4 linked regions of the Tamandua tetradactyla genome follow. The protein of the gene in region 1 interacts with the protein of each later gene in a biochemical or structural test. Links are inferred from orthologs where the notes say so. Each region holds a gene or a part of one and is shown in the gene's direction. Other genes may lie near its edges. The genes, in order: SMURF1, AXIN1, RHOB and SMAD5.

What was found.
Region 2: of the proteins of SMURF1 (region 1) and AXIN1, one has a biochemical effect on the other in vitro, tested with the Homo sapiens proteins (2 studies listed by BioGRID, with this or other methods). The link is inferred for Tamandua tetradactyla from reciprocal best matches to the Homo sapiens genes SMURF1 and AXIN1.
Region 3: the proteins of SMURF1 (region 1) and RHOB form a complex in vitro, tested with the Homo sapiens proteins (2 studies listed by BioGRID and IntAct, with this or other methods). The link is inferred for Tamandua tetradactyla from reciprocal best matches to the Homo sapiens genes SMURF1 and RHOB.
Region 4: of the proteins of SMURF1 (region 1) and SMAD5, one has a biochemical effect on the other in vitro, tested with the Homo sapiens proteins (3 studies listed by BioGRID, with this or other methods). The link is inferred for Tamandua tetradactyla from reciprocal best matches to the Homo sapiens genes SMURF1 and SMAD5.

Annotation. Positions count from the first base shown.
Region 1 is NC_135349.1:7,194,446-7,202,321, reverse strand, and holds the start of SMURF1 (E3 ubiquitin-protein ligase SMURF1), read left to right. Parts: upstream 1-4,862; 5' UTR 4,863-4,916; coding exon 4,917-4,971; intron 4,972-7,876. UniProt on the Homo sapiens protein: E3 ubiquitin-protein ligase that acts as a negative regulator of BMP signaling pathway. Mediates ubiquitination and degradation of SMAD1 and SMAD5, 2 receptor-regulated SMADs specific for the BMP pathway.
Region 2 is NC_135349.1:56,967,142-56,975,085, forward strand, and holds the start of AXIN1 (axin-1), read left to right. Parts: upstream 1-4,938; 5' UTR 4,939-5,026; intron 5,027-5,591; exon of another isoform or gene 5,592-7,944. UniProt on the Homo sapiens protein: Component of the beta-catenin destruction complex required for regulating CTNNB1 levels through phosphorylation and ubiquitination, and modulating Wnt-signaling.
Region 3 is NC_135329.1:3,528,983-3,535,899, forward strand, and holds RHOB (rho-related GTP-binding protein RhoB), read left to right. Parts: upstream 1-4,445; 5' UTR 4,446-4,502; coding exon 4,503-5,093; 3' UTR 5,094-6,401; downstream 6,402-6,917. UniProt on the Homo sapiens protein: Mediates apoptosis in neoplastically transformed cells after DNA damage. Not essential for development but affects cell adhesion and growth factor signaling in transformed cells. Plays a negative role in tumorigenesis as deletion causes tumor formation.
Region 4 is NC_135346.1:15,399,299-15,407,035, forward strand, and holds the start of SMAD5 (mothers against decapentaplegic homolog 5), read left to right. Parts: upstream 1-4,731; 5' UTR 4,732-4,761; intron 4,762-6,338; 5' UTR 6,339-6,426; intron 6,427-7,737. UniProt on the Homo sapiens protein: Transcriptional regulator that plays a role in various cellular processes including embryonic development, cell differentiation, angiogenesis and tissue homeostasis.

The DNA of each region.
Region 1 (7,876 bases):
CCGAGCAGTCGCACTCTTGAGCACTTATCCCAGAGAAATTAAAACATATGTACACACACACACACACACACACACACACACACACACATACAAGACCTGTACACAAAAGTTCAGAGTAGTTTATCTGTAATAACCAAAAACTGGAGCCAGCCCAGATGGGATTCAACTAGTGAAGACTTAGACTGTGGCGCACACGACTGCTCGTGGAATACTATTCAGCAATGAAAAGGAATAGTTTGGAAGAATCTCCTGGGAATTATGTTGAGTGAAAAAGGACAATCCCCAAAGATCACATACTGTGTGGTTCCATTTATATAGCATTTTTGAAATGACAAAATTTTAGAAATGGAGAACAGATTAGTAGTTGCCAGGGGTTGGGGGACGATGGTATAAAATGGCCACAAGGGGTCTTTGTGGTGTGGGAACTGTTGGGTGTCTTGATTCTAGTGATGGATCTATGGAACACACAGGTGTTAAAACTATATACCATTTAACATCCATAGCCACACTAATCAGTATAGGTAAAACTGGGGAAATCTGTGTAACCTCGTCATATTGTTTCAATGCCAATATCCTGATTGCGATCTTTTTTTGGGGGGGGGCAGGCACTGGGAATCAAACCTGGGTCTCTGGCATGGCAGCGAGCACTCTGCCTGCTAAGTCATTGGGCCCACACCTGATTGTGATCTTATACTATGGTTTTGCAAAATGTCTTCTGGGGACGCCAGGCAGAGGGATCCCTTTGTCTTATTTCCATCTATACAATCATCCATCCATGATGATCTCAATTAAAATTTCAATGAGAAAAAAATACTAAGTTATAACCCTTACCAATGATGATAATATAGTCAGCCTTGCAGATTGGAAATATTAGATCTGTCACTTAGAGAAAGACCCTAAAACCATCTGGGCCTAAAAGAATAAGTAAATAAATGTGCTAAGTATCACAATTTTGCACATCCAATTATTTTAAAAACTTGATGTTCAGATGAAAAGCAAAAGGAGTTTAGCTCCTAGCTCTAGAGACGACTGTAAGGGCTGATCTCATCCAGCCACTGGTGTCAGAGGCACTGGCTCATGTACAGAATCGTGCTCTCGAGAGGCATGTGGTATAGCTGTCCACTCCTGCCAGGAATACTCTGCACAATTTCCCAAACTTCCCCAATAGTAATTGCGGCTGCATCTCCCATAGTAGGCACTGGAACAAAGATGAGCACACACATTTTATATGTCCTACCACTCACCAAGCATCTGCTCTATTAGACTGCTAAGTCCACATCCAGGGTTTAACTTAACCCTCGTGCTGACTTTGGGTGAGAGACACTATTATCCCCATTTGACAGATGGACAAAGTGAGGCTTGGAGAATGTAATTAACTTGCTCTGTCCCCAGCTGAACTTGTGGTGGAGGCAGGGTAGCGGGTGGGCCTGTATGTGTTTTCTTTTCCAAAGCCTTCCCTGCTCGGTGTTACCTCCTGAACACATACATATGAGATAGTCGTAAAGATTATTGAATGATTATTTCCTTTAGAAGAGCGGTTCTTAATCTAGAGCCCTTACAACATCCACAAATTGCTTTCAGGAGATCATGAACCCACTGAAATTGGATGCAAACTTTGGCATCTGCCATGCATGAATTTTTTCTGGGGAAAGGGTCCAGAGTTTTCATCAGATACTTAAAGAGGTTTGACTCAGAAACAGGTTAAGAACTACTACAGCCAGATCCAAAGAAAGATTTTTATTTCCACTGGAAAATGTTTTCAGATGCCCTATAACACTGACGCAGGAAAATGAAACATTTGGGGGCAATAAAATCAGCTGCCAAGCCCATAGAAAGCAGGGTCAAAACTGCGCCTTCTAGACATTGCAGAGGACATGTGAAAAAACTCATTGAGTCCCAGCTTTGTTTCAGCAGAAATATTTGATAGTTCCTGTTTTAGTTTCCTAGCTTCTTAGACAACAGGAATTTAGTGGCTCACAATTTTTAGGCTAGAAGAAATTCAAAACCTAGGTGTCAGCCAGACAATGTTTTTTCCCTGAATATTGTGGCTGGGGCTGGCTGCTGGTGATCTTTGGTCCTTGTTTTTTATGTCACACGGCAGTGCACACAGCGATGTTGTCCCCTTTCTCCTCCGGGTCCCTTGAACTTCCTACTTCTTGCTTCTCCCAGTACTTTCTCTCTGTGGCCTTCTCTACAGGATTAAGACCCATCCTAATTCAGTTGGCCACACTTTAATTAAACAACCTTATCAAAAGGTCCTATTTACCATGGGTTCATACCCACAGGAATGAATTCAGATTAAGAACAACTCCAAACCACCGCAGTGTCCATGTGTTCCAGATGGTTTTAGAAGATAGTATTTTTGACAAAATTTGATACCGGATGAATAAATTTCAGGGTAGATCTTAAGTTCAGTATGAGGCCTAGGATAAAATCGCAGCTGATGACTTTTTTGTTAAGTGGCTGATGATTTTTAAGTGGGCAAATATCTTTTATCAACTTAGAGTGGGATAAGGTGTATGGATGGAAGATACTGCAGCTGTGCGATTGGTCTGGTGTTGGAAACTGCAGGAAAACACATTTACTTTCATGCCTTTGCATGAGAGGCTCCTGCTGCCTACAAAGCCCTTCTCCAGCCCTTTGCTGGCAAATACTGCCTCCAAGGTCCTTATATTGCCTTTCTGAGATCTCCCCATCCCCTCCCCAAAGGCAGATTTGCCCTGTAACCTCTCCCCTGGCCCTCTGTGCATATCTCTATCCCTGCATCAGTGTCAATTGTTTACGTCTGTCTCTCAGTTAGCTGAGCTTCTGAGATGCTGAGGCTGTGACTTGTGTCCCTGAATAGGTGGCCAAGATTTGGTGAATGAATTAAGTGTTAGCTTCTGATTAGGAAGGTTCTCCTTGTATAGTTTGTGGGGCAGCACACCATTAGGTGTTTCCAGTTAAATAACCGTAATTACTTGTTACCAAGTAAACAAAATACCTGTCAGCAAACTTCCAGAAAGGACCTCCTGGCCAGGGGTGGGTGGGGGCTGGAGGCGGGGGGGGGGGGGGGTGTTGATGAAATAATCAAGCAAAGGAAAGTCCAGACATCTAGGCAGATAAGAAAACAATGTGGTTAAGAAATAAATGGTTTCCAGGCCAGGAATGGTGGGGGAACAGAACAGGTAAGTAGAGAGAGAGAGTCGGGTTTGTTTGAGAAAGAATAGACTTCTTGAATATGGTAATAAAGAGGAGGAAATACTGACTGGGATGAAAGAAGAATGGGGATTATTTGGGGACATTAGACAACCAACTGTAAATGGGTTTATTCAGATCAAGGGACAATTGCCTGCAGAGAGAAACAGAGCTGGATTCTGGGTCTACTGTCCTGTAGCTTAAACACAGAACCATTTAAAGTCTGAGCAGCAAAAGGCCGTACAAATGATCCAGGCACACTTTTCTGAGGGATTGAAGCTCAGACAGTCAAAGCAGGACTCTGCTTTCATTTGGCTCAGATTGCAGCTGGCAGGCACTGCCAAGGGGCTCTAGGGACAGGGGCCTAGTCCCAAGACTGTGACCTCGGAAAAGGCCCAAGGTTGCAAGGGATGGCCACAACTGCCCAGAGCCTGGTTTCTTTAAGACACAAACCAAATAAGCGAATTAAAAGAATTTGTACATTAAAAGGATTACATAAAGTGGGTCAAAGACGAGTTTGATCAACAACCCAGCCTTCCTTTCTGTTAATATATTTCTTCTTCTCTACACCACGTTTGCAAGGGAATGTATACAGAGCTTCTAGTTCTAACCTGTAACCCTGAGAGGAGGGGAAGTGTTAGCAGAAGGCAGGGAAACGTAGGCGGTACTGCTGCTTGTCTGGTCAAACCGTGTGCAGACTGGATCATGACCAGCATCTTCTCTACCCCTCAACTTTATCCCTCTCACAAATCTTGTTTATCGTGTCCATACACGGTACTTTCTGCGCGATTCTGGCAACTCTGTTTCGGGTCAACAGAGTGCATTAGTTGCACAAAACCCACCCAAGGGACTTTGTCTCATTGAGAAGCCGCCCCCTTGAATCGGCTGCATTATCTGAAAACTCTACTCAAAATCTTCTTGAAGGCCCGTGTCGCTTGCGCAAGGGGCTTAGTCTAAGAACAGGCCAGGGTTTCATGGAGGCCTCCCTGCAGGAGCTTAGCAGGAGCCCGGGGCCTTGAGCCAGAGCCCAGGAAAAGAATTCCATCCTCGGAGCCTCCACGTTCCCATCTGCACGTCGGGTCCCGCAGAGAGGACCAAAGGCTGAGGCGGGCAGCATCGCCCACCCGTGTCGGGACGACCCCTCACCCCTCACCCCGGGCACCCGCGCTTCTCCGCGAGTGGGCTCCGGGGCGCTCGGCTCCTGGGGCCGCCAAGCCTCTTCCCAGCTTCCTGGAGAAGCCCGTCTGGGCCCGGCAAGAGCAGGAAGGTCCGGGTCCGCAAGCTGCGGAGCAGCCGCGCGCCCGCAGCCGGGCGGGTGACGTACGTGCGCGTGTTGTCCCGCCCCGACGCAGCCTGGGCGCGCGCACGCAGACGGGGGCGCGCAGGGCCGGGCCGGCGAGGCAGGCGCCGTGTGCGCGCGCGGCTCGGGAAGGCGGCGGCGGAAGCGGCGAGGGCGGCGGGCGTCCGGCTCTGAGGTGGTGGAGGCGGCGGCAGCAGCGGCGGCTCTGGGCTGGGCACGGCGGGGAGGGCGCGAAGGTCTGGGCGCGGGGCCGAGTGCCAAGTCCCGGCTCAACCATCCACCCGCCGCCCGGACGCCTGGGCCGCGGAGTTTGTGTCCCGGCTCGGACCCCGGCGCCCAGCCCGGAGCCGTAACCTTGAGGCGGCGGCGGCGGGGCCGGGCCGGGCCGGGCCGGGGGGCGGAGGCGCTGGATCCGCGGCTGCCCGATCGCTGGCGGGAGATGTCGAACCCCGGGACGCGCAGGAACGGCTCCAGCATCAAGATCCGTCTGACAGGTACGGCCGGCGGGAGGCCCGGAGAGCCCCGCCAGCTCCCGGTTGCCCCGCACAGCCCCTCGCCAGCCCCGGAAGCCCCCTCTTGTCGCCCTGGGGGGTGTCCCTCCCCCACGCCGGCCGTGGTCCCGGGACCTCGTCACCCCCTCAGCGAGTGCCCCTCGCTCCTGCTCGGCCCCGCCCCCTCGCTTCTCCCCTGCTGACCCCGCCCCCTTGCTTCTCCCCTGCTGGCCCCGCCCCTTGCTTCTCCCTCCCGACCCCGCCCCCTCACTTCTCCCTCATGGCCCCGCCCCTTCCCTTTCTCTTTCCCAACACCTTTCTCTTGCTTCTCCCCTCCTGGTCCCCCCTCTCGCTTCTCCCCTCCTGGCTCCACCCCTCACCTCTTCCTCTTGGCCCGCCCCCTATTCCTCACCGCCCCTGTCTAACCCCTTCCCCTTCTCTTTCCCACCGCTTTTCTCTTGCTTCTCCCCTCCTGGTCCCGCCCCCTCGCTTCTCCCATCCTGGCTCCACCCCTCACCTCTTCCTCCTGGCCCCACCTCTTCCCTTCCAAGTACCCCTCCTTTTCTCCCTCTTTCTTCCCCCACCTGCCTCCTCCACTCTCCTCTCCTGGTCCCGTCCCCTCGCCTTTCACTCCCAACCCCCGTTCTCCTCTTTGCTTTCCTTTTTCTCTCTACCTGCCTTGTTGCATCTGCCCCCTCTTTCTCCTCCCTCTTTTCTCTGGCTCCGCCCCTCACTTCTCATGGCTCCGCCCTTCGCTTCTCAGGACCCCGCCCCTCACCTCCCGAGTCCCGCCTGGCCGGCCTCTCCGCCCGGCCGCCTGGCTTCTATCCGGATGCATCAACTCATCAGCCTCGAATTCCTTGGTTCCAGCGTCTGGCCTCTCCCACTCCTGTCCCCCCCACCTCTCCTCCTCAGCCAAAGCTCTGCAGTCTGGTCCGCTTCCTCCCTCGGTCTCAGGCAGGTCCCTGTGTGCCCCAGTCGGCTTCTTTCTGATCCGCCTTTCACCGTGGTCACCCCACTCCACGCCCGTGAGCCCCTGCTAGGCGTCCCTCCCCCCACTTCTTGATGCACTCTCATTTCGTCTTCAGCGGGTATAGGTGCAGGTCTCCGCGGCCGGCCCGCGGGGGCCGGGATGCGTGTGGACGCAAACCGCGGGAATCGGTGCCCCGGGGCGGGGGTGGGGGCGGGTCCGGGCTGCAGCCGCGTGTCCCAGCGCAGCCCCAGGTGCGCACACCTGAGGCGGGGTGTGGTGCTCCCATATGGCTGTGCCGGGGACTTTCCAAACCACAATACTTCCAGCTCTGGAAAGGAAATAAAAAGTTCAGTCCACTCCCTCGCAGGGATTTTTCCCTCGATTTCTCTTCTCTTTAGTGGCGGGGCCCAGTGGGGACTCCGAAATCAGAGTCTGGTCGCGTCCTTTCAGGGCAGCACAGCCTTGAGGTCATCTGAAAAATCAATCCATGAAAACAACCCGGTGGTTTCATGAAAACTAAAATTTAGAAAAACAAAGTTGCTTGATACATTTTTTGTTTCAAGAAAAGGGTTGCTTTTTTTTTTTTTTTAAACAAGGATGTTAGTTGAGGAATTATTTGGACCCAAACCAGACCCTGGATTTGTAAGGTAACAGGTGTAAACTAGGGATTTCTGGAGAGGCATAATCCTTTATACCAGGGTGTGGCTAGGAAACACTTCTCAACGCATAGATAAAAACAGTAAGTTATTTTTATGGCAACATAAAAGTCATGTTTCTGACGTTGTGATACTTGTAAAACTTTAATTACTGACAACCTTAATTTGGTTCTCATTTACAATGTAATTTGTAACTGAGAGCAGATCCATTTGTTTTCTTTTTCTTGTTATTAAAAGCCGAAGTACCTGATTTTGTGAAGTTCAGTAGAAATGTGATTAAAATTTTAGAGAGAGTAAGATTTCAGGTACAGATATATGCATCAGGTGTGTATATATATATATATATATATATATATATATATTAATCAAGTCTAGTTGGCAGACCTAGGCCTGGTTCTTTTCTTCTTGAAGGAGAAGATTTGTTTTGTACTTCTCCCAAATTATTTTTGGACTCAGGAATTTGGATGTCATAGATCCAGAAATGCCTACAGAGGTTTGGTATGGCATTTGCTATTAAAGGATCAGGTGATGCGTGTTCTTTCTGAAATAAATATTCCTTTTAAATTGGTCTGTGAGAGTGACTGCTCCTGCAGCAGGTTGAGAGTGAAGCAGTGATGGTGGAAGCACCTGGTGGCACTTGTCTGTTGCACATTAATTTATGCGGAAACAGTGACATTAAATAGTTTGTTTGAAGATAGAATAGGTTTTGACTTCATTTTTAAGGTTGTTATGGGAAGTTTGCAATCATTTCATTTTTGGCACATTGTGCAGATAATTTTCAAACGTTGAATGCTTCTGTTACTGGTTTCAGAGTTTATTTCCATGTGTGATATTTGAAAATAAGAATTTTTTAAAATGAGGGCTATCTAACTAATCGATGATTAATTAATTACACACAGAGCGTAATTAATTGCAACATATGCAGACACTGGAGTTGTGAAACACCATTTAGAACTTTTTGGGTACACAATTGTGTTTGGTTATAGGGCAAAAGTTTAGAGTTAGGAGTCATGGATTCTGGTCAGATCTACCAGTAAGAAAATGATATGAAACTAATTTTTTATCCTTTCCTAACATACGAAATGAGATTTCAATCCTATTATAATAGTCTTTGCTTCTACTTTTCATGGGATTTGTCAGATTTCACCTATTCATTCCAAATTATTGTTGGGGACTTGTGCTTTCTGTTGCTAAGTCTCAATCCTCATATTCAGAAATTTGTATTAAAATGTAGCCCTCGTGTTTGATTTATGCCAAACATTGATTTAGTATATTGAAT
Region 2 (7,944 bases), about 50 Mb from region 1:
GCCCCGCCTTGCAGCAGCTCCCAGGGACTTCCAGAGACCAAGTAACCCCGCTCCTTCCTTGTGGGCCCGGGGATTGGCGAGCCCATGTGCTTCCATGACGACAGTGCCCTCAAAGTGAGAGGATGGAGGTTGCAGCCCCTGGGCCCTGCTGTGCCCACTGCCTTGTTCCCACAGCCCCAGGGTGGGTGGGAGGACTGGCCCTATCACCCCATCCAGGTCCAGGACACCTCAGGCCAGGAGAGGGCTGGCGGGATCTGACTGCCACCTGGTAGGCTGTGTTCTGCCTCCACCCCCAGCAGCTCACCTGCCTACCCAGGTGTGCAGTCTGCAGGGCTGCGGAAGGGTGTGGCATGGCAAGGCAGAGGCAGGCCTTCCGGGCCCCGGGGCCCCGCCCTGTGCACCTATGCTTGCCCATCCCTCTGGCCTCCCAGCACCTCCAGGCACAGAGCCTTGGCTCCCTCCCTCTGGCGCCAGGCTGGTCTGACAGGCCCCGCCTTGCAGCAGCTCCCAGGGACTTCCGGGGACCAAGTGACCCCACTCCATGACCCTTGACCGGCCCAGACCCCGCACCCTCCTGTCCTGCCCTCACCACGTGGGCTCTGTGACACACCCTCATGCCAGGAAGGCAGCCCCAACCCCTGCAGTCCGCCGTCCCCAGCTGGCCCAGGCCTGCTCGCCGGTGGCTTCCAGCACACCTCGGGCGGCTCAAGGCTGGAGGCCCGGCCAGGGGCCCGGCCTCCCTAGCAGCTACTCACCCCCCTCGGGGCCGGAGGCCCACCCCTGCCCCCCGTCCAAAGGCTCGTCTTCCCTTGGTCCACTCGACAGGCGTGGCCTCCGGCCCTTCCCGGCATCACAGGGGGTGCAGTGGGGACGCACCATGCCTAGTTGAGAAGCCCTGCTCTCCGGACAGGGGTAGGCGGCCCAGGCAGACAGCCCCCAGGCGGCGGAGGGCAGCTGCAGTTGCAGGCCCCGTGCGGCAATGTGGCCGCAGCCCCAGGGTCTGGTGGGGTAGGGGAGGCCCAGGCGCAGGGCCCCGGTATGGCTGTGGCGGTGGCTGTGCCCACCGGGGTTCCTCCCTACACTTCTCCCCACATTTGCTTCTTTCCAGATGGGGCCTGACCTCAGCCGCTGGGGCAAGCCGGACCTGAAGCCCTGCTCTAGCAGGGCCATCCTGGGGGCCGGGCAGTGCCTGGAGCAGGTGCCCAGGAGGGCTGGACGGGGACCCCTCACTCACACTCGTGCCCTGCAATGGGCAGGAGCTGCACCGTCCAGCCACGCCCTACTCGACCCTCGGAGGGGACCCCAGTGTGGGCCCACCGGCCACCCACCTGCTCCCTCGGCAGTCGGGAGGGGCTGGGGGGCTGGTTGCCATGGCTACCATAGGGTTCCGAGGCCGTCATCTGGTCCCGCCTCAGCCAATCGGCGGCGGGAGCCCGAGCTGCAGCCTCGAGTCACGCGTCCCTCCCAGCCCCACAGTGGCCGAGCGGGACCTGCTGCCCGGACTGGCTGCCAGTGCTCGGACACGGCCAGGCCCGTCATGGCGGACAGCGGGAGGGCGGGCCGCGGGCCGGCGCGCGGAGCCAGGCAGGTGAGGTAAGCCGGGCGGGCGGGTGGACAGACGGATGCACAGACAGGTGGACGCGCTGCCCACTGTGGCCACGGCGTGGTCCTGCCCCTGGCTGGCCCGCCTGCCATGTCCACCCACCTGCGCACACCCACCCTGGGCCCTGTCCCCATGTCCTAGCAAGGTTCCCGGGCAGGGAAACAAAGAAGGCGGCGCGAGGCGGACAAGCCCCACCGCGCCCCGGTCCGAAAATCACCCTCCCGGGCCTTTCACATCAGATGTCACGAGGGCGGCATCAAAGACCCCCGACTGGCTGGCCCCTCTCCCAGCACCGCGCCCTGGCCCGCTGTCCCGTGCAAAGGCGGCGTGGCTGAAAGAGCAGTTTCCCACGAAGCATTTTTCAAAAAGGAAGAGGACAGAGAAAGAAGGGGAGAAGGACCGCCCATCCTAACGGGGGAGATGGATCAGAAACGCCAAATCCCATTACCCGGGCGTCCAAGGACAGCGGGCTGCGGCAGGGGCAGGGGCAGCACGCTGTCCAGGGCTGGTGAACGGAGCCCCTCGGAGATCAAAGAGGGTGCACGTGTGCGCGTGTGCGTGTGCACGCGTGTGCGCGCGGCCGGGGCGGCGGGGCTCAAAGCCTCCGTCGGGCGACGGTCGGGTCGCAAGGTGACCTCGGAGGAGCAGGTCATTTAATGCCTGTAGCTAATCCCCGCACTTTTGTTTGCCACGACGGATTCTGGCAGCAACAAAGGCGGGGAGGGGGGAGGGGGGGCAGCTCCGAGCGTGGCGGGCCCGGTGAGTGGTGGCAGTGCCCTGGGGACGCCGGCTTTCTTGGGGAAGTCGAGTCGGGGGCCCCACGTCCCCCTGCGACCCTGTGCAGTGTCTGAGGCTCGTGGGGGCGCCCCACTTTGCTGAGGGGACCCCGGTTCTGGGCAGCACCTCCTGCAGTCCCCACCTTCACCCGCACGCATCGAGGCTGTTGGGGGGTAGCTGGTACCCACCCCAGGCCTCGACGATTCCTTCCGACAGGAGAAGAGCCAGGCAGGCATGGCGGGGGCTCAGGCCCGTCTCCCTAGCACCTGGGCCTCTGGGGGGTAAACATGAGACCTAAAGGGAGAAGCCCTGGGACCGCGGATGGGGGACAGATAGACGGAACCTGGGCTGAGCCTCTGGTGTGGCAGCCAGGCACGGAGAGAGGAGCAGGGCACCCATCCAGGGGCAGAGGGCTCCCCCACTCCCCTAAGCCCCAGCTGACGTAGAGCTCTGGTTCCTGCCCTCCCGGTTTTCATTTCATTCTTGGAGATCCTGCGCTGATGTCTTCACACTCACCAGCTGTCCACGCTGGGCCTCGGGTGCCTGGGTCCTGCTCCCTGCACTGGGCTGTTTGATCCTAAAGACCCCCAAATTGAGAGGGGACTCGCCCCTGTGGAGAGCAGCCCACGTGCTGAGGCTGACCAGCCCCTGCTGCCCCTGCCAGGGCCCCTCTGGCCAGACCCCTAGTGGGGGGCCCCCTGCCCCCCTGCTATCCGCCCACAGGGCCCTGCGCTGCTCCCGGGCTCTCTGACCCCTTTCCTGTCCCTGCAGGCTGGCAGGCCCGAGGAGCAGGAAGCCCGAGGGCCGCGTCCTGGCCCCAGGCCTTGGGAACACCCGCCGCCGTGGGCCAGCGGGAAGACAGACGTGGATGCAACCCTGCGAGCCTGGTCTGGCCGCAGCAGCGGCTCTGCAGAGCCAAGGCAAGCGCCGGACGCGTGGGGGTAGGCACCCTTGAGGGCACCATCGGCTCAGCCCTTCCAAGTTTCCTTCACCCGTGGAACCCACGGTGCCATGGAGGACACCATCTCAGTCTCCCCTGGGACCGTGGGACACAAGGCGCTGCCTGCCCTGTCTGTGGCTGGTGTCCACATGCCCCTGCCATGTGGAGGCCTGGGGACACTCTCCCAGGGCCTGTCCTCCCTCTCGCGGCGTCACTGGGGTTGGGGTGCTGCCGGCCGAGGTTGGCTGCTGGCCCAGCGCGCGCTGGGCTGGGACTTCTGCTCTGCCCCAGTCAGTGCGGGAAGGGTCCAGAGAGGCCATAGCAGTGGCGGGAAAGGGTGGTCGGGGGTGTCAGTGTGGCAGCGGGGTGGAATCATGGTGGATGGCAAGTGACCAGCCACAGGGGGTAGAGGACAGGAGGGCCTGGCGGCTGGGGGTGCAGAAATGCAGGGTGCCCCAGGCCACAGGAGGTGAGCAAGGCCCTGACCGTGGGCCGCAGCCTCCTCACTTGAACTGGGGGTAGAGCTGGCCCCGGGGGGCTTTTGGTACATCCAGTACAGGGCAAAGGCCCTCACCGAATCACTGGAGGGGAGGAGATGTGACTTTGGGGGCATGGAGGTTGCAATTTCTGCTGCCACATCCTTGTTGTGGGGCGGCCCTGGAGCTGACCGCGTCCCGTGGGCCAAAGCTACTCCTGGGTGGCTGCCAGACCTCCGGGGCCTGTGGTGGGCAGGTGGCCAGCACAGCGATGGCCGGCCATGCTTCTAGGCGCCGACCGCAGACCAAGACGGTGCTGGGAGAGAGGGGTGGGTGCCAGGCCGGAACCCCCGAGGTCCTCGCCCTCAGGGAGCCCGAGGCTGCACCCTGGATGGTGCTGGGGAGACCTAGAGGCAGGAGGACAGCCCCTCCGCCACCCCGGACCTCAGCCCTCTGCAAGCTGCAGCTCCGGCCAAGGGTCCTGAGCATTTCCCGGATGCCTGGGGGCTGCTCGGGTCCTGGCCGGCTGGGCGAAGGTGGGCGGTGGGGCCGTCGGCGGCCCTTCAGGGCTCTCCCCAGCGTCGTCTCCTCTGCGCCACCCACCCCGGACACCGAGGCGAAACCAGCGCTTCTCCCCGGGCAGTCCCGGGACCCCGCCTGCGCAGCGCAGCCCCGCCCCGCCCCGCGGGTCCACGCCTCCGCGCCTGCAGCCATTTGGCTCCTGGCTGCGGCCCCGCCCCACGCTCTCGGTCCCGCCCCCACGCTCCCGGCCACGCCCTCAACCCCGGCCCCCCATGCGCTCTGACCCCAGTCCTACGCTCTGGCCCCGCCCCTACGCTTCCGGCCCGCCCTCACGCTCTCCGACCCGCCCCTGAACCCCGGGCCCCGCCCCCGCACTTCCGGGCGGCGCCGGCGGGGGCGCTCGGGCCTGGCTTCGGCGCTCCGGGCTCCGGCTCCGGAACCGACCGCTGCCGCCGCCGCTGCCGCTGCCGCCGCCGACCCCGTGCCATCGGACCCGAGCCGCAGCCACCGCGCAGAGGCCCGGTGAGCGGGGCGGTCGGCCTCGGCGGCGCCCAGCGCCTCCCCCGGGCCCGCGCCGAGGCCGTGGCGATGGGGGCCGCCCCCGGCCGCGCCCCCGCGCCGTCCCGCCCGTCCCGCTGCCGCTGAGCGCATGGGCCGCGCCGCTTCGGGAGCCGGGCCGGGTGCCCAGTCGCCGCCGCCGCCGTGCGGGTGAGTAGCGCGGCCGGGCCAGAGGGCGCGCAGGGCGGCGGGCGCCCATTGTAGGCCGCGCGAGGCCTGGCCGGGGGCGGCACCCGGAAGAGGGGCTAAGGGCGTGCGGGGGCGGGGGCGGGACGGGGGCGTGGGGGCCGGAGTGCGCGGCTCCTGGGTGCGCGGGGAGGCGAGGGTGTCCGGGGCCCGGGGTGCGCGGTGGGGCCGGGAGTGTGCGCGGCCAGGGCGCGCGGGTTCCCGGGGGGCCGCCAGACTGCTGTGAGCGGGGGGCGGGGCAGCAGGGGGGGGCCGAGGGAGCGCGGAGGTCGCGGGGGGCGGCGTGAGGGTGTCGCGCTTTGGGAGTCGGACACTGGCGGGGAATAGGGGCAAGGCCCCATGACTTGGGGTGTGCGGACGGGGAAGAGTCTGGGCGGGTTCTGGGCCTAGGGGTGCGAAAGGAAGTGAGGAAGACGCAGGGTTCTGCTCCGTGCGTGGGGCCGGGTGTGGGTGGGTGCCGCGGACCCTGGCGGGGGGCAGCTTTCAGCGGGTGAGTGGGTGCACAGTAGCTGCCCGGGCTGGATGGTCTGCAGGGATCCTGCCGCCGCCTTGCACCCCCCCCAAAAAAACAGGAAGAGCTGTGTGCACTCATGGAGGGCACCCCCTCTCTGTGCAGGATGCTGTGGTTGGCTTCCCTTACCCCTCAGGATGATACCTTGCCACCAAAAAACCAGGTGTTCCTCCTGGGTAATGAGTCTTAAGATTTTTACCTGCAACCCACACTTTGCAGCTTAACACCCCTGATGAAAGGAAGCAGCAGGTAAGGTAGTAAAACTTTTAGCTTGTCGTTGAGGATAACAGAGATGTTACCCTTCAGGTGCTTTTCTCAGCCCCACTCTGAGGCAGTTGTAAAGGTCTGTATTGTGCACATGGGCCCCTTTTTGTTCACACTTTGGTTCTCAGGTGTACTTGGGTCTTTGCTCTGAACTGGATCACAGAAATAGCCAGCAGAAGCTCGAGTTTGATTTTAGAAAAGTCTCTCCAGGGACAGGGGTGGGAATACATTTGAAATACAAGGTGACTTTCTTGGATGTAGAATTTTAGAAAAGCTAAGTGACTTTCTTGATTTAAGTTGGTTCTTGAGAATCCAGCTAGTGGGGAGTGGGTTGCATTTCAGACAATAGCCCTGACTCTTCAAGAGTTGAATTAATGGACAGTAGGAAAATTGTCAGAATTGCATACCGTTTCTTTCACTTTCCACGTAATTCAAAAATTCGGAAGTTATGGCATACCGTTTCTTTCACTTTCCATGTAATTAAAAAATTCGGAAGTTATGTTTAAGTAAAAGATGTAACCACATCCGTCCACAGATATGCTTGTGTGGTTGCTCTTGGGGTGGGCCACGTGGGGGCTGGGGTATGCCCAGGTAGTGGCAAAAAGAAGCAGCCTCTTAGGTCCCTTTCATGGAAACGCTCTATCGGTGGTGGTCCTGGCTGGGGGCCGGCGTGGTGCTTGCTGGCAGCTCTGACCTGGACTGAGGGAACTGTTGTGTGTGTGCAGAGCAGGGCCCAGGGCAGAGCCGAGTCCTCAGCGCCTTGGCTCACCGGGTGCCAAGGCTGGGAACAGGTGGGCCCATAAGAAGTGGTTCTTTTGTGCTAGAAAACTAACCCAGGATGGCCAGGTTGGACTGGGTTCACACATGAATTGAAAGGTTAGTCTTGAAAGCTGCAGTTTGCTAATAAGGGGTCAGAGTTCAGGTTTGCTGCCGTGTCTGTAACAGCCGCTCAGCACCTGTGAGGCGCTGGCGTGGGGAGAATGTGACAACTTTCTTTTTCCTTTATGTCCGTATGTATTTGTCGGTGCTGGTTAGTTGCAGGACCTTGTAAGTGCTGTGTGTCCTGCAGGAAACATGTAAATCAGAGCTGCTGCAGGTGGCTGCGTGGACACATGTGACAGAGGCTGTAGGGGAGTCACCCTGGTGATCCAGTGTCTCGCTCCTCCTGTGAGGCTGTGAGCTGTAGGCTCTCTCCACGGGTGAGCACAGGTGGTCAGGAATGAGACCCTCTTTCCCGAGATGGCACCCTGGACGAGAGGACATACAGCATGACAAGCTGGGGCAGAGCTGCGGGCACAGAGGTGCTCCCTTGGCATGAATGGGGCTGAAAGAAAGCGGCTTTGCAGCCAAAGTGGCCTGTGAGCCGCAGGTGCCTGGCTCCCGGGCCTCGACCTTAGGTAGCAGGCTGTTCTGGCTGCTCCCCGGGGCGTTTTCCTAAGAACTCTTTAGCTGCAGAAGTGCCCTGTGGGCCCTCTGCAGCCTTGGCAGTGTGGTCTTGTTGCTCAGCGGGCCCTGCGCTCCTCGCAGCACGCCTCGCGGAGTGGCCCAGGGTGGGCTCGTAGCAGCTGCCACGGCCCCTGAGGGGGCTCTGGCTTACCATCCTTGCCCCTTGAAGTACCCTCCTTCCACCCGCTGTGGGAAGGGTGTTCTCCTTACCGGAAGAGGGTAGCCCACAGTGCCCTCAGCCTGTCTTCTGAACGAAGCACCCGTGAGGCCGGGGCTGGGGTGGCCTCCTGGCTAGCTGTTATGGACATGCGCTGAGCTAGGGCCCACACAGCTTGCCCTGGTTGCAGGTTGTTGGTGGGGGCGGGGGGTGTGCTGGAAAACTTGCAGTTTTTTGGAAGGAGAGTGTGGCGCCCAGAGGGTCTGGGTGTGGCAGCCCCTTGGAGCACAGGCTGGGTGCTGCAGTGTGTGGGGTCCTGCAGGGGAGAGGAGCTGCCTTGCCCTCCTGCTCTGCGGCTGAGGGGTGCCTGCGGGCTGCGGGGCCGGGTGTGTGCGTCTCCCTGCAGGCGGGCTGTGAGCCGGAGAGTTTCCAGAGATGGCGTTCCGAAGGGGCACCCTCATGGCCCGCTGGGTCGCGAGGGGATTGCGGCCAGAGCCCGCGTGG
Region 3 (6,917 bases), on another chromosome or scaffold:
CGCAGTGGTGGTGGGTGCGTGTGCTAGGGTTTGCCTCTCTCTTTTGAAAGGAGAGGGAGTCTCAATGCCAAGGCCCCAGCAGGCTCTGCTGTTTAGAAAACCTGCCTCGTGTTGGGGATGACAGCGGGGGGTGGGGGGGTGCTGCTGCTTTCAGGGGGTGGAAGGAAAGGACTGGGGGGCTCCTGGCCTGGAAGGACTGACCGCAAGTGGGAAGGAGGGGGACGCTCACGCTGCCCGAGGCCACAAGACCACGGAGTGCCCTGCGTGGCTGAGCCTCTCAGAAGTCCAGCACTGAGGTTAGGACAATTAAAGGGGGATCTGCCGAAGAGAGGCCACTGTCCCTGAGAGAGGCCAGGCGGCCTGCTGAGCTTTCCAACAGGTACAGCAGCGCCACCCAACAGAATGGCGTGTGAACCACATGTGCAGCTGAACATTTTCTAATATCACATTAAAAAACGTAAGAAGGGAAAAGGTGAATGTTAATTCAAAGAATAAACTCAAATATAGCCAAAATTCAAAAATATATCCAGTACACTCACAATATTCTCATTTCAACACGTAGTTGATATAAAAATTATTGATGAGCTTTTTCATATTTTTTTTCACTTGAAGTCTTCAAATTCTAGGGTTTAACTTAAAATTACGGCACATCTCAATTCAGACGTGAGATTTTTACCGAGAATACTTGATCCGTGTTTAGGTTTCATAAGACTTCCTTTGAAAAAATAGATTCCCATACCCAAGTTGTTTCAAACACACAGAAACATTTCCCAATAGCTGAATCGGACACTGGTTTTTAAATCTGAATGAATGAAACTGAAATAGCAATCACAGCTCTGCCCCAGCCGTGCTGCCGGCACGCAGTGGGCACTTGTGCTAAGAGTTGACTGCTTTGGAGGGCGCTCAGAAGCTGCCCGCCACTGCCCACTGCCCTTCTCCTGCCCCCGGACGGGTAGATGGGGCTCTGGCCGAAGTCCAGGCCCGCAGCCCTGAGGCTGCCGGGCTGGTCCCCTGAGCCCTGCCGCTGCTCAGAGCCGACACCCCGGAAAGCAGCAGGACACCCCTCAGCCAGGACACTGGGCCCCAAGCCCACCCAGACGCCCCCCACATCAGACAGGATGGCTGGTTCTAGAAGAGCCCTTCTACTTTTACTGTTTCTCACCCAGAGGTAGAAGGTTGACAATTTTCCTAGACATGAAAAGCTCCTCCTTAAACGAAGACTTTTAAATCCCTCTGCTAATCTCTTCAAACTTACAATTTAACTAGGAAGGACTTAAAAATGCATATATGAACAAGATTTTATATAGGTGTGTATGAATATATAGATAAAGATTTCTAAAGAAGCTACTTGCTACTTATTGAGCTGTGCTTTGAAATTTATCACTTCTCTGTACATTTGTTATATTGCACAATAGAAATGCTTTTGAAAAAGAAGTTACTTGTAAGTCATACTTTAGTTTTATATCATCTGAGAGGTCCTAAAAATATTCATAAAATGCACGTTTTTTTGACTAAATGTTTTTTATAATGTCTCTTTTAGGAAAGAATGTAAAGATTGCCACAAGGAGGCGCTAAAATCTAATAAAAATTCCAATCTCAGGGTGATTTACTGGGGATACACAGGACACCCTGGGCAAAGAAATGGCCAAATAACTTAAGTAGACTATTGGAGAGAAATTGATACTCTTCTTCGGAAGGATCGACTCCCTCTCTCACGTTATCAGTTGTATGGTGGATCTATGTGTTAACAAAGTTAATTATTAAATGACTTGTTCTTATAATCAAATGCTGTCCTTGCCTTTCTGTGGCAGCACTGGGAAGGGAGGGGGAGGCGGGGTGGCGAGTGTGGACACGCGCATCCTCTACGCAGCGTCCCCTCTGAGGCAGCTGGTATTCCCAGTTCTTGTCAAACTATCTCTGGACAAGAAACGAACACCATGAAAAGAAGTTGCTGCAGAACGTGAATTTTTTCTGTTTGTGTACTTTGCCATGTTTACCAAACGAATATTTTTAGAAATTATTGCAATACTGAGATTCGAGCTTGGCACACACAGCTCCTATGGCATGCGTGAAAATTGGGAAATGAGTAAATTTGATCATTCTTCCTGATTCTTTGTGTGTGTGTTTTTTTAAAACATGGTACAAAGTTTGAACGGTCTAATATTTTCTTAATATTTGAGGCTTCAGGGCACAGCCAACATTCCCAAGTTATATTAAGACCATGCAAAGTAGTCTAAACAGTACAGCTATAAAAGGTTTTGACTAAAAGAAGAAAAATGTGTGCAGATAAGATTTCTCCAATAGGCTAACTAAAAAAAATAAAAAAAATCCAGATGGGAGCCTTAAACCAATGATCAAAAAAAACACAAAACCCTTGGGCCATGGGATGGCACTGCGGAAAAATCATTCAGTCGCTTGCAGAGAGAGCTGGGCCCTGTTGTGCAGCCAATCCCGGGAAGGGAAGTCTTTGTGGCCATTTCAGGAGTTGTTCCCCAGGCTAAGGACTAAGGGCTGTGGTACTCGTGGCTCACTGACCTGATCGCCGGGTTCGCCACACCTGCCGAGTCCACGCGCCCTGGGTCTCAGTGTGCCAACGCTGGCTGCAAACACCAGGGCTCAGCCATAGCCCAGCCTGGGCTCCGCGGGCTGTTACAGCAGAGCCTGCAGCTGAGGTTCAGGACCCCTGGAAGGTTTCAACTGAGTTCCGCAGCATTTTGGTTAATTCTCCATTTAATGGTTCTTGCGAAGTGCCAGGCATTGTGCTAGGTTTCCCAGGAGACAGAATCCCAGCCCTCAAATGGCTCAGCACAGAGGGAGACGGAAATATGAGGCATAACATCTTCATGATGGAAAACCAGGAAGCCACTCTCTGTCCCAGCAATGGGTCGAATGCGCATTAGCCAGCTACCCGCTTCTTCCAGCCTGTCCCCACCGTCCCTCACCACCAAACACAGCTCTGCACCGCTGCTAGAATCCGCCCTCCTCTCTCCCTCCTTCCAGCCTTGTTGAGCGGCTCCTCCTTCCCAGGAGACCACCCCACCCCACCCCTACCCACGCCTCCCCTTCCTCCTTCCCACCTCTTCTGTGCATTGAAATCCCAACTCCGGCCATCTTTGTACACCAGGCATAGGAGTCCTTTCCTATGGGCCCAGGGCATAGAGAAGACCGTCCCCAAGGCAGTAATTCGCTGAGTCGGGGCCTGCAAATCTCTGCCCCTTTCCCGGACTTTGGCCCATCCTCGGCTCCCGGCCGGGTGGGGGTAGGGGGTGGACTCTGCAGTCCTCCAGTGCTGACATTTCTCGGGTTTAACCATGAGGATGAGAGTTAATCACGCGGAGCAGGGCCTGGGCTGTCCTTCCCTACCGGTAACTTCCTCAAAGTGGACGGGAAGTTCTGCAGCCAGCCTAGAAATTCCCTTTCCACTGATCTACGGGGGCCCTGGGCCTTCCTTCCTCTATTCCTCACCTGAAGCCCAGGCTGGGGGCCAGGCCAGGGGTAGGCCAGAAGACTCGAAAGCGGGGGGTGAAGGACGGACGGCTCCGCCCAGGCCCCCTGTGCACAGTCTGGCCCACGCCTGCCTCGTGGGTCCAGAAGAGCTGCCAGGAGGCCGAGTACCGGCGGGACTAGAGGAACGGCGGTTCTGAATGAAAGGGAGACAGAAGTGGTGTGTGCGCGCGTGTGTTTATTTAGAAACACCACCACCTTTAGGAGCCGCCCCCTCCCCCAGGGAGCCGCCAACCCACCGGGAGCTCGCAGGGCCGCGGGGAAATTCCGAGTGGGAGGGGGCGCCAACGCCCCACGGAGCACCGTCTCCCCGGAGCCGCGGGCCGGAGACGGCGGGGTCCGGTCGCACCTCGCGGGGGCCCGTGCGCAGCCACAGCCCGAGCCCCGCCAAGGCCCGGCCACGCCCCGCCACGGCCCCGCCACGGCCCCGCCGCGCCAGCCGCGGCGCGCACGCCCGAGGCACCGCCTCTCCCAGCCCCGCGGCCCGGGTTGTCAATCAAGCGCACCCGGCCCCGCCTTCGGGCTGCAGCGTGCGACCAATCGGAGCCAAGCTCCGCAGCGATGAGCTCAGTCTGCGCGCTTCCCATTGGGCAGCTATATTAAGAAAGTGGCCGGACGCTTTAAATAGCGGGCGCCGGGGCCGCAGCCCGCATCTGCCGCCGCAGTCTGGCCGGAGTCGTGCGCTCCTCCCGTGCCGTGAGACGCTCCCCAGCCCAGCTGAGAGCCCCGAGGGGTCGCGAGGCCGGGTCCGCAGCTCGGGCGGCCGTCTCGGCACAAAGGCGGCGGCCCCCGCCCGGGACGAGCCGCGCGGCGCACCCTATGCCCCCGCGCCCCCGCCGCGGCCGCCGGAGCGCGCGAGCCAGAGCGCCAGCGCGGGGCCTGGGTGCAGCCGGCGCCCCTCGCCCCCGGCGCCCAGCCCCCGGTGAGCGGTGAGCGGCGAGCGGGACGGCGGCGAGGCGCTCGCGGGCCCCCTCCTGTTGCCCGGGCCCGGCCCGCTCATGGCGGCCATCCGTAAGAAGCTGGTGGTGGTGGGCGACGGCGCGTGCGGCAAGACGTGCCTGCTGATCGTCTTCAGTAAGGACGAGTTCCCCGAGGTGTACGTGCCCACCGTCTTCGAGAACTATGTGGCGGACATCGAGGTGGACGGCAAGCAGGTGGAGCTGGCGCTCTGGGACACGGCGGGCCAGGAGGACTACGACCGCCTCCGGCCGCTCTCCTACCCGGACACAGACGTGATCCTCATGTGCTTCTCCGTGGACAGCCCGGACTCGCTGGAGAACATCCCCGAGAAATGGGTGCCCGAGGTCAAGCACTTCTGTCCCAACGTGCCCATCATCCTGGTGGCCAACAAGAAGGACCTGCGCAGCGACGAGCACGTTCGCACGGAGCTGGCGCGCATGAAGCAGGAGCCGGTGCGCACGGACGACGGCCGTGCCATGGCCGTGCGCATCCAGGCCTACGACTACCTCGAGTGCTCAGCCAAGACCAAGGAGGGGGTGCGCGAGGTGTTCGAGACGGCCACGCGCGCCGCGCTGCAGAAGCGCTACGGCTCCCAGAACGGCTGCATCAACTGCTGCAAGGTGCTATGAGGGCCGCGCCTGGCCCGCGCCCCCCCTGCCGGCGCCGCCCCCCCTCGCGGCCTGCCCCTCGCGAGCCCGGAGACGGGGGGATCCGCGCCCCCGAGCGGCCCCACCGCGCCGGCCATCGGCGTGGGAGGGACCGGGCGCCCCCTTCCCCGTGTCTCTCTGTGCGGCCGGTCGTGCTGCACGGTCCCGGGCACCCTGCCGAGTGCCCCGGGCCCCTGAGCATCCTTTGCTGCAGAGCTGGGCCTCCGAGTGCGGCTGCGTGTGTGGCCGGCCGCCCCCCCCCCCCCGCCCAGTGGCCGCCCCCTGCCCCCGCCTCAGGTCCCCGGAGCCGAGCGCGGCCGCGCCCCGTCCGCTGCTCGCCCCTAACCAGCGAGCGCCTGCCATCCCTTGTCTGTAACATAGACCCCGGGAACTGCGGGAGGGGAGGGCTGGGGAGGACGGGGGGAGGGGTGCTGTATAAAAATAGATTAATTTTATTTTCGGGAGGTAGGATGTTATTTAATGGCGGTGGTGGGCGGAGGGACGGCGCCGGAACAGCCCCGGCCAGGCGTGGATCAGGCGCCCATCTAAGCATAGACTGGATCTGGCCATCTTGGCGGCCTCCGGGGAAGACATTTGGAACTGACTTGGGGCCGAGAGGACACAGCTTCCGGACGCGGCGCAGCGGCTCCTGTGAGCGGGCCCCCCCACGCGCAGCCCCCGCAGCCTTCCGGAACGCCGGGCCAGGAGGAGCCTGCGCCGCAGGGTTGTTTTTGCCATAAGCGAACTTTGTGCCTGTCCAACAAGTGAGAATTGTTTGGTTCAAGAAACTGATGTTATTTGATTTATTTAAAGGCTAAAAACTAGTTTTGTTTTTTTCCCAAAAGAATTCTTTGCACAATTGTTTCATTGTTTGACACTTAATGCGCTTGTCATTTGCATAAGACGGTCTGACTCCACTTGTATGCTGTAACCTCATCTACTTCTGATGTTTTATTTAAAATGATGACTTTTAAAAAATGAGAGGAGAGAAAAAAAAACGCACTAATTTTTGTTTTATTTTCTTGGAAAAAGTGGCAACACTGGCGATTTTATTTGTGCAGATTACACACACCCGTTTGGTAAAGGGCAGTCACAAGCATCCCGGCCTATTTAAGGTATTTTGGGTTTTTTTTCAGAAGGCAGTCTCTAGAGCTATGTGAAGTTTTCTCTGCATCTCTGTACAGAGAATAAACTTGCCCCTATTCTCTCTTTTCTCCCCTCCTCCCCCTGTGGTACTTCTACTAAATTGTCTTGTTTTTTTATTTTTTAAATAAACTGACAAATGACAAAGTGGTGAGCTTATGATGTTTACATAAAAGTTCTATAAGCTGTGTATACAGTTTTTTTTTATGTAAAATATTAAAAGACTATGATGATGACATTTATAAAGTGACTGCTATGGTTTAATAGTATATAAAAGTTTCCTGGTGGATTTGGGGCAAGGGAAGGACTTTGCTAGGCCAGATCCTGTGTTTCCACCATAAATACAGTCCCTCACCGTATATGTAGGAAATTGGAGTGACGTCCCTTGGGGCGTGCGTGTGGGTTGGGAGGTGTGGGAGACCTGGCTGCTCCTGTGCCAGTGGCAGAGGGAGCTGAGCGGGGTGCCCAGCTACCCCACCCTCCATTAGGTGAGGCCAGATACCTGGATTCTATTTTGTTCTTTATGTACCAAGCCCTTGTGCTGAAATCTATTCTGGGGCCTTGGCGTCCTATTTTTTGAAACTTGAAAATGTGTGCATTTTAAATTTAGATGACATTTTATGTCAGTCACTGGTGTGGGGGCAGACTTTCTTTGTCTGAGAA
Region 4 (7,737 bases), on another chromosome or scaffold:
TGAGGTCTTCCCGCTTTAAATACCGCATGGCCAGCAAGGAGCCTTGGACCGACTTCTGTCCTCTACTTCTCACCAAAATATGTGTGAAGAAACAGAAAGGACCCAAGGCTCATAATTCCTGACCTACAAACTAAATTTGAGGAGAATTTCTGCCAAAAAGATGACCAAATGGAGTATTGGGGGAAAAAAATGGTGGCACCCCTACTTCACCCCCTGAAACAGAGCAGCCCTGGCTTCCTAGAAAGCTACTTCAGCAACCTGTGTTTTCTACCCCTCTAAGAGGATTTACAACAGCCAGAAAATCAGGCAGACAGTTTAGGACACCAGGAGGCTGGCTGCCTTTTGAAGTGCTCTGAGGACGAGGATGGACAATCACTTCTTATTCTACCCTCCACCTCCATCGTGTTTCTACATCCAATCAGAGGCTGTAAATCCTAGAAAGGACTGAGTAGAGGGTTTGGGGTGGGCAAGAGAGACGAGAAAGAAGGGTGGTTGGGTCCATTTTAGGAGACTGAGAGCTAAAGGCCAGTGCTGTGACAACAAGGAAGAGAGGTCATCGTCACAGCAGTTCCACGGGAGGGCTAGCACGTCTCGTGTATTCCATTCATTCAACCCACCATAAAGTCAGAGACTAGGCGATAGGAGAAAATGTACCTTTGGATAAGAGAGGAGCCCTAGAGCATTGAGGCTCTGCAATCAGAGCTTTATGATTTTATAGATTTTTATATTGCCGTTCCAAGTAAGATTGTTTTCTAAGGAAAGGTTCTGCTGAAAACCACGACAGTTATTCCTGCTAGACACTGGAATTGGGACGTGAAATATTATACCAATTTGCTCTACTGCTGATTTCGTGAAAAGGGGGACCTAGCCCTCCACCCACTCACTGTCCCAGTATTTCTCTCAGTGTACAGAGCAAAGTGAGAAAGGGACAATTTAAACCCTAATGAAGTACACGGGAACAGAAATAACATCTTGAAAATACAGAGCAGGAGCATAACAATGCAAATATGACAATGATTTGTGACGAAACCCAGAAGAAAATTTTGGAAAATAATTGGGACCTTCCATAAACACAGCTTCTATGAAATAGGAGTAGACAGCCGTGTGGAAAAAACCAGACGAGATGAAAGAGCACATAAGGAGGGCAAGGAAACTCATATATTAATGGTAAGATTAAAATCATCTGAATTGGAGGCAATAAAAAGTAGAATTAATGCCCAGAAAATTAAATCACTGACATGGAGGATAAACATTAATGGTCTTTACAAAATGCAGAGGAAATGGGAAAAGCAATAAAGATTATGAGAAAGGAAATGATCTGCTTGGGGGATAAATAATGGAGACAAGTTCCAAGAAGAGTAGGCTAACCGAAGCAAGAATGAAAATCAGTTGGGTGTAGAACCAGTAAAGCATCATTGAATTATGTATTCCAGAGATTTAAATAACGTATGAGTGTGCGAAGCAAAAATAAAACCATAAAAAAGAAAGAAAATATAGGTGTTTATTGATGTTAGGCTGAGCAAGAACTCCGTAAACAAATAAACAATAGCAACAATGAATACATATATATATATGTAAAGATTAATAGATTTGGATGCATTTTGCCAAGTTTAAAGAACATCAAAAACATTGAGGTAAATTATAAATTTGGAAAAATGTCTGTGACAAAGACAGACGGTTAATATACCTAATCTATGAGGTGCTTTTCAAAATAAGAAAAATACTAACACCCCCCCCCCCCCCAGTATGAATGTTGGATAGTGGTCATAAATAAAAAAATTAAAGGAAGACTCAAATGACCAATAAATATTTGAAAACATTTAGCCACATTAGTAATCAAAGATATCAAATTCAAAGACAAGATAGTACTAGATAACATTTCTGCTTTTCAGATGTGCAGATTTTTTAAAATTTGGTTCTGAAAATCATGATTTGAATAGCACTCCCCTCTTGCACTTGACTGGTTCCTCTTCTCCTTGGGGTTTCAGTTTTACCTTCACTTCCGCCAGGGAGTTTTCTCTGACCACCCAGGCTACGTCATGTCCTCTAATTGTCATTTTTCATTGCATCTTCTACTTTGTGGCATTCATTTCAATCATATTGTGACTGTGTGTGTGAGTCATTTGTTCAGTATCTGGCGCCCCAATGAGACTGTAAAGATAACTAAAGCTTACATTGAGAATTTACTCTGTGCTAGGCAATATTTAAGTGCTTTTTGAATGTTCTGCATTTTTCTCCCAATATGGAGTCTCTGTGCTTGTTTAAAGAGGAGGAAACGGTAGCTTAGCAGAAGTTCAGCCCTTGTCCAAGCCCTGCCGGCTGGTACCTGCCTCCCTTGGCTAGAGGCTAGGGCTCCTGGCCTGAGAGCTGCAGGGATCTTTTCCAAACTTTTCCCACCCAGAGTGATCATTCAGAGGCAAAGCCCCTTCCTCCAGGAAGGGACCAGGTCTTCCATTCTGGACCTCATGCCGTACCATGACATCGTCTGAGACTACGATAGGAAACCAAGCTTACTTCTCAGAGTAGTCTAGTTAGAGAACACTCAAAGTTCACCTTCATTTTTTTGGTTCCACACAGCAAAACCTTTCACCATGGCACTCATCTCCGTATTTCAAGATGCCACATTCCACCATAAAGTTACAAAAGAAAAACTGTGGGGTGGGGTGGGGTGGGGGGAGGCACTGAGGAATTCATGATTCATGCATCCAAATCCTTTCTTGGATCCCCAGAGGGAAATTGCATGCTACCTTTATTATGATGCTTTGTCATCGCCAAATAAATAACAAGAGAAGCAAGGGATTTTTTTTTCAAGATAAAGGAAAGGTTAGAATTATTTAAACTTAAATCAAGTGCAGACAGGTTTATCTCCCTTCCTACCCAAGGAGATAGAGTCCAGGACTGGGTGAGCTGGTGGTAGGGACTCCAAGATTGGAAGAGAGCAAATGAGCAGCTGGAACAGAAAGAGGGAGAGTTTCCTCATGAACCCAAGTGGCTGACAGGGAGCAGAGAAAGGACTGGAAAAGGCTTGCTGTTTTGTAGGATAGTGACACTTCTAGGACCTTCTAATCTGCTACAACCCCCTTAACACAGGATTCACAAGAAACAAAGTAGCACAGTTGAGTTGTTTAAGAACCCGCCTGTGCTTGGCTGTTAGCAAGGTCTGAGTTTAATTCCCAGCTCTCTCTCCTTCCTGCGTGCCTTAAAGCTTCTTAACCTTATTGACTCCAACTCTCCCATAAAAATGGGATAATAAAAGGGGCTGCTTCATGGAGTTGTAGTGTAAGATAAGGACGTAGCATAGAGCTGGCATGTTGTAAGTTTTCAGCACACGTTAAGCATTACTATTTCAGATGGGCAACCTGGCCTGCTGGCAAAATGGATCTCTTTCTTTAAACCTGAATTATTTGTAGTGGAAGTATTCTAAGCTAAAGTGTATATTTTACAGGCTTATTAAATAGAATACTCTAAATATAGTCAATGCTTTTGCTTTTATTGAGCTTTTCTTATACTTAATAAACCTCGTTGTACAAACACGGACAATGCAGGCGCGTATAAAAGTGAAATTGGAAGCCTGCCTTGTCTGCTTCTCTTCTCCAGGTAACAATCCTTAACAGTTGGTGGCATATCCTTTCTGACTGGATTTCCTGAACGTTCCATCAGGCGCTGTGTGGCAGGGAGGCGGCCATCTGAACAATGCAGGATGCCAGCCTGTGGCGGCTTCACATCAGCGGGCCTGCGGGCCCCTCCCGTGTGAGTTAAAGTTGCATATTTCATGATTATACCACAGAAAGAGCGGTAGTATCTTAGAAATAGCCCTAGAGGAGAGACCTGAAGCTCTAATTCCCAGTCCTCATCCTTACACTTATGACCTGTATGAACCCAGAAAAGTCACTTTACGCACTAAGCCTCAGTTGCCCCCTCTGCAAAATGAGATTTATGAACTAATTCATGGTTACTGATTGTATACTATGGGTTAGGCACATTGTGAAACAAGACAGACAGCTTTCCTCGAGTTTGCATCTTAGAAGGAGTAAAAGGGTGATAAATCAAATACATCGGCAAGTGAATATCCGATGAGGCTATGAGGATAACAGCCAAAGAGGGTGAGGTGATAGGACATGACAGGTTGCTTATCTCCCAAGGTTGCTGAGACTCCAAATAACTTTCCTCAAAGGGTTTTGTAAACTAAACGCATGATATAAAATGTAATTTAATTCTTAGGAAAAAAGAAAGGACCCGTATATTTGTAACACCAACCACCCACGATACTGTGATTCTTGAAGGAGAAAGGGGCCTCAGGAGTGTGTACCATTGAGAAGTGCTGCTTTAGAGTTGATAAAACACTTTGTCCATACTTTATCTCAATCTGTCCTCTATGCTTGCCAAAAGTCGCAAAGATATGGAGGCAGGGAGTGGTGTGAGAAAAGAGAAAAACTTTTCTTTTCTACAGACCAAAGCCCACTTTGTATAGTACTTAAGTTAGACCCTCACCGCTAGTACTGGAATGCTTGCAAAGCAGTAAATTAGGGGGTGGCATCCTGGAGCCCGAAAGACCAAAGTGCTGCCACATCCTTTCCAGGTGCAGCCTTTCCGGTGTTTACACTTTAACAGCCGCAGAAACCCAGCACAGAGTGCTCTGAGCCCTGACGGAAGACCAGTAAGATATTACTATGAAGTCAGTTTTACATCATAATGATGAAGCACATTTACAGAACTTGATTTGAAATTTTCATCTTATACTGTGCTGCAAACTGGCACTGGGTGAGTTTGGTATCACTCTCCCATGTTGCAGATGAGAAGACTGAAATTCATAGAGGAGAAAAAAACCCTCCAAACTGGTGGCTGAATGCCCTCATTGGGTCAGCAGGCTCCTGTTGAGCCCATCTCTCCCCAGGATCTCAGGCCACACTGGTTTACTTCTTGGGTTCCCCCCGCCCCAGCCTGTCCATGCTCCTCCCCATTTCCACCTCCCTCTCCAAATTACATCCTCCTGTCAATTTTTTTCTTCTACCATAGCACACTTTTGCTTTCCCTGTGCACTTATGAGAAAACACCATTATATTTTCAAGTGTGTTTATTTGTGTATTGCCGGTTGTTCCCGTGATGAACCCCACGTCCATGCCTCTTTGGTTCACTGCTGAATTCCCAACACCGGGGACAGAGCTCGCGAAATATTTGCTGGATGAAGAATGAAGGAGGAAAGGAGGGAGGGCCAATTCGTCGCTTTTATTCGAAGGTTTAAACATAAAACATTACCCCCGAGATAAAATCAAAACATTTCCCCCTGATATTGGATAATGAAGATGTTTGAACATGTAGAAAAGTGGAAAGAATTGTGCACTACTGAGTCAACAGTTGTTAACGTAGAAGAAGAGCTGTTACCTGAGTATTGTCAAGGACAACTGAATGTAACGCCAGGCTGGCTGATTATGACTTGACTATTCTTTGGAAGCGACTGCTTTGGGAGCCCTCACGTTCAAATACTTCGTTCTGCAGCAGTGATCCAGAGGCGGCACCGGGCATAGGAGGCCTATGGGCGCCCACACACGCGGCTCAGTCCTCTTTGCGGCTCGTGGCAGTATTAGGCGTAGGAGGGACAGGTCTGGGCCTTAAGGCCTCATCAGTTATTTCTCTTTCCCGAGTCTGGTTTCTCTTCTGTGAAAATGGGGATTCATATACCCGATCTGCCCACGCCATCCCTCACCAGGCCAGGATGGTGGGAATCAGATGTAGGACACTGTCCTTTGTAAAATGACAAAGCAGGAAGTGCTGGTGAAATGTAGGGGAGTATTGCAGCAAGGGGGCACACACAGAACCCCTGGGTATCCGTTTGTTTTCCTTCTCACTCATTTGCTGTGTTAACGAAGAATTTCAGGTTGACTCTGAGCTTCTGTCATCTGGCAGAACTTTGGATCACAGCCTCGTGACTCCTCCTGAGCACATGGACTTGAGCCAAAGGCAAACCTGTAAGGGCCTCTCAGATACTGCCCACTCCCCAGAAGCTGCATCGCTTTGAGTATTTTGCCAAATCTCCATCCTGCTCTTGGAAGAGGACTTGAGCGGAGAGAATGGAGGAATAGTTGTCTCTGCCTGCCCCTTCCCCAAACCCCTGGCAGCAGGATTCCTGTGCCATCTACCCTCCCACTCTCTTTCTTCTCCCCCCTGCTAGACTAAAACTTGTAGGGGAACTTTGGCCCTGAATTTCAGCAGGAAACACACCCAGCAGCCAGATGTCTGACTTTTTCACCCCTTGGCAAGGATTAGCCATCTTCCCTGTAAACTTCCGGCTTTTCCTTTCTGTTAGATCTTTCAGCTTCTCCCTTTTCTATCTCCTTTAGTTCATAGACATGGACACTCTCGAGAGGAGAAGCAAAAGGTAGCTTGCAAACTGCTGCAGACTTGCTGAGTGTTTATATACTCCATTCGGTAAGTTCGTTGTTGGTGAATGTTGGAGAGTTGGGGGGTGGGGGACGAGGAGGGGGTGGAGTGGTGGAGGGGACCCGGTCAGCATTCAGACTCATTTTGTCTGTCACTAAATGTATATCCAGTGAAGAACCGGTGCCTTTCATGATGATCAAACAGGACAGATAATTAGATAAATTCACAACTTAAAATAACACATGAAGGAAAATAAGTGCAAATTCTATTACCATCAAAGTATTTGAGTGTGAAAAAATAATAGGTAAAACAGACCTCTCAACTTCAGGCATAATGAAAGAACCAGCTCTTCTTTGACAAACGAATCAGACCTCAGAGAACACCTCATCCACTTCCTTCACTTTCCAGGTGGAAAACTGAGGTGCCGGGAGGGAAGGACTTGCCCCAGCTCTCTGACCGATGGTGAAATGCGGTATCCTGGCCCAAAGGCTCACACTTGGCTCTGTTGACATCTCTCCAGAGATATTTCTGGAAAAGAAGGATTGCATTCGCAGGCCTGGGCCTGCCCTGCCCACTGTTCTGTCTCCTGTCCTCCTGCTCCCGGGCCGCTGGCCCCGCCTCCCTCTCAGAGGCCCTCTCTGACCTACAGTCCCCGCCAGGAAGCAGCAGCTGCAAAGGGGACCCGGCTTTTCTCTCACGTATGCACCAGTCTTCCAATAAACACCTTGAAGCGGGAGAAGCAGAAGCCTTTTTTAAAAAGTGTAAGAGGAAACATTTCTAGAAAGAACACTGTCTTCCAAGTCAGTACTCTTAGACTATTCTCCATGCAATAAGGGGCAAGTGTTTCCCAAAGAAATGCATGAAAAGCGGGTCATCACAGGAAACCTTTACAACGAGATTTTGAGAAACTGAATTATCACTTCACTGTACAAAATTGTCATTCTTTCCTTCTCACCAGTTTTCGCCTGATATATCTCCCTTCACTAGTGTGAATTCCCACTCCACCAGGCCTGACTGTGTGGTTTTGGTAGTCACTGCCCCTCTCTGTGCCTCAGTTTCCTCACCTGTAAAATGGGGATTATAGTTTTGATTTCATATAGTTGCCCCAGGGATTGTGTGAGATGAGGGCGAGCATACTTAGCATGCGGTTGGTGCTTACTAAATGCCCTCTGAAATAGAGGCCTATAACTATGTCCCTTACCTAAAGGGCTCTAACAAACAGGAGGATTCCTTTTCGGCAAGCCCCGCGGCACTTCGTTGGGCAGCCCCGGCTGCCTGCAGGAAGGAGGACAGGTCTGAGCCTGGAAGGATATGTTCAGTGGCAGCTGGCAGGGTTCCTGTGAAACCCGAGCTCCTTCT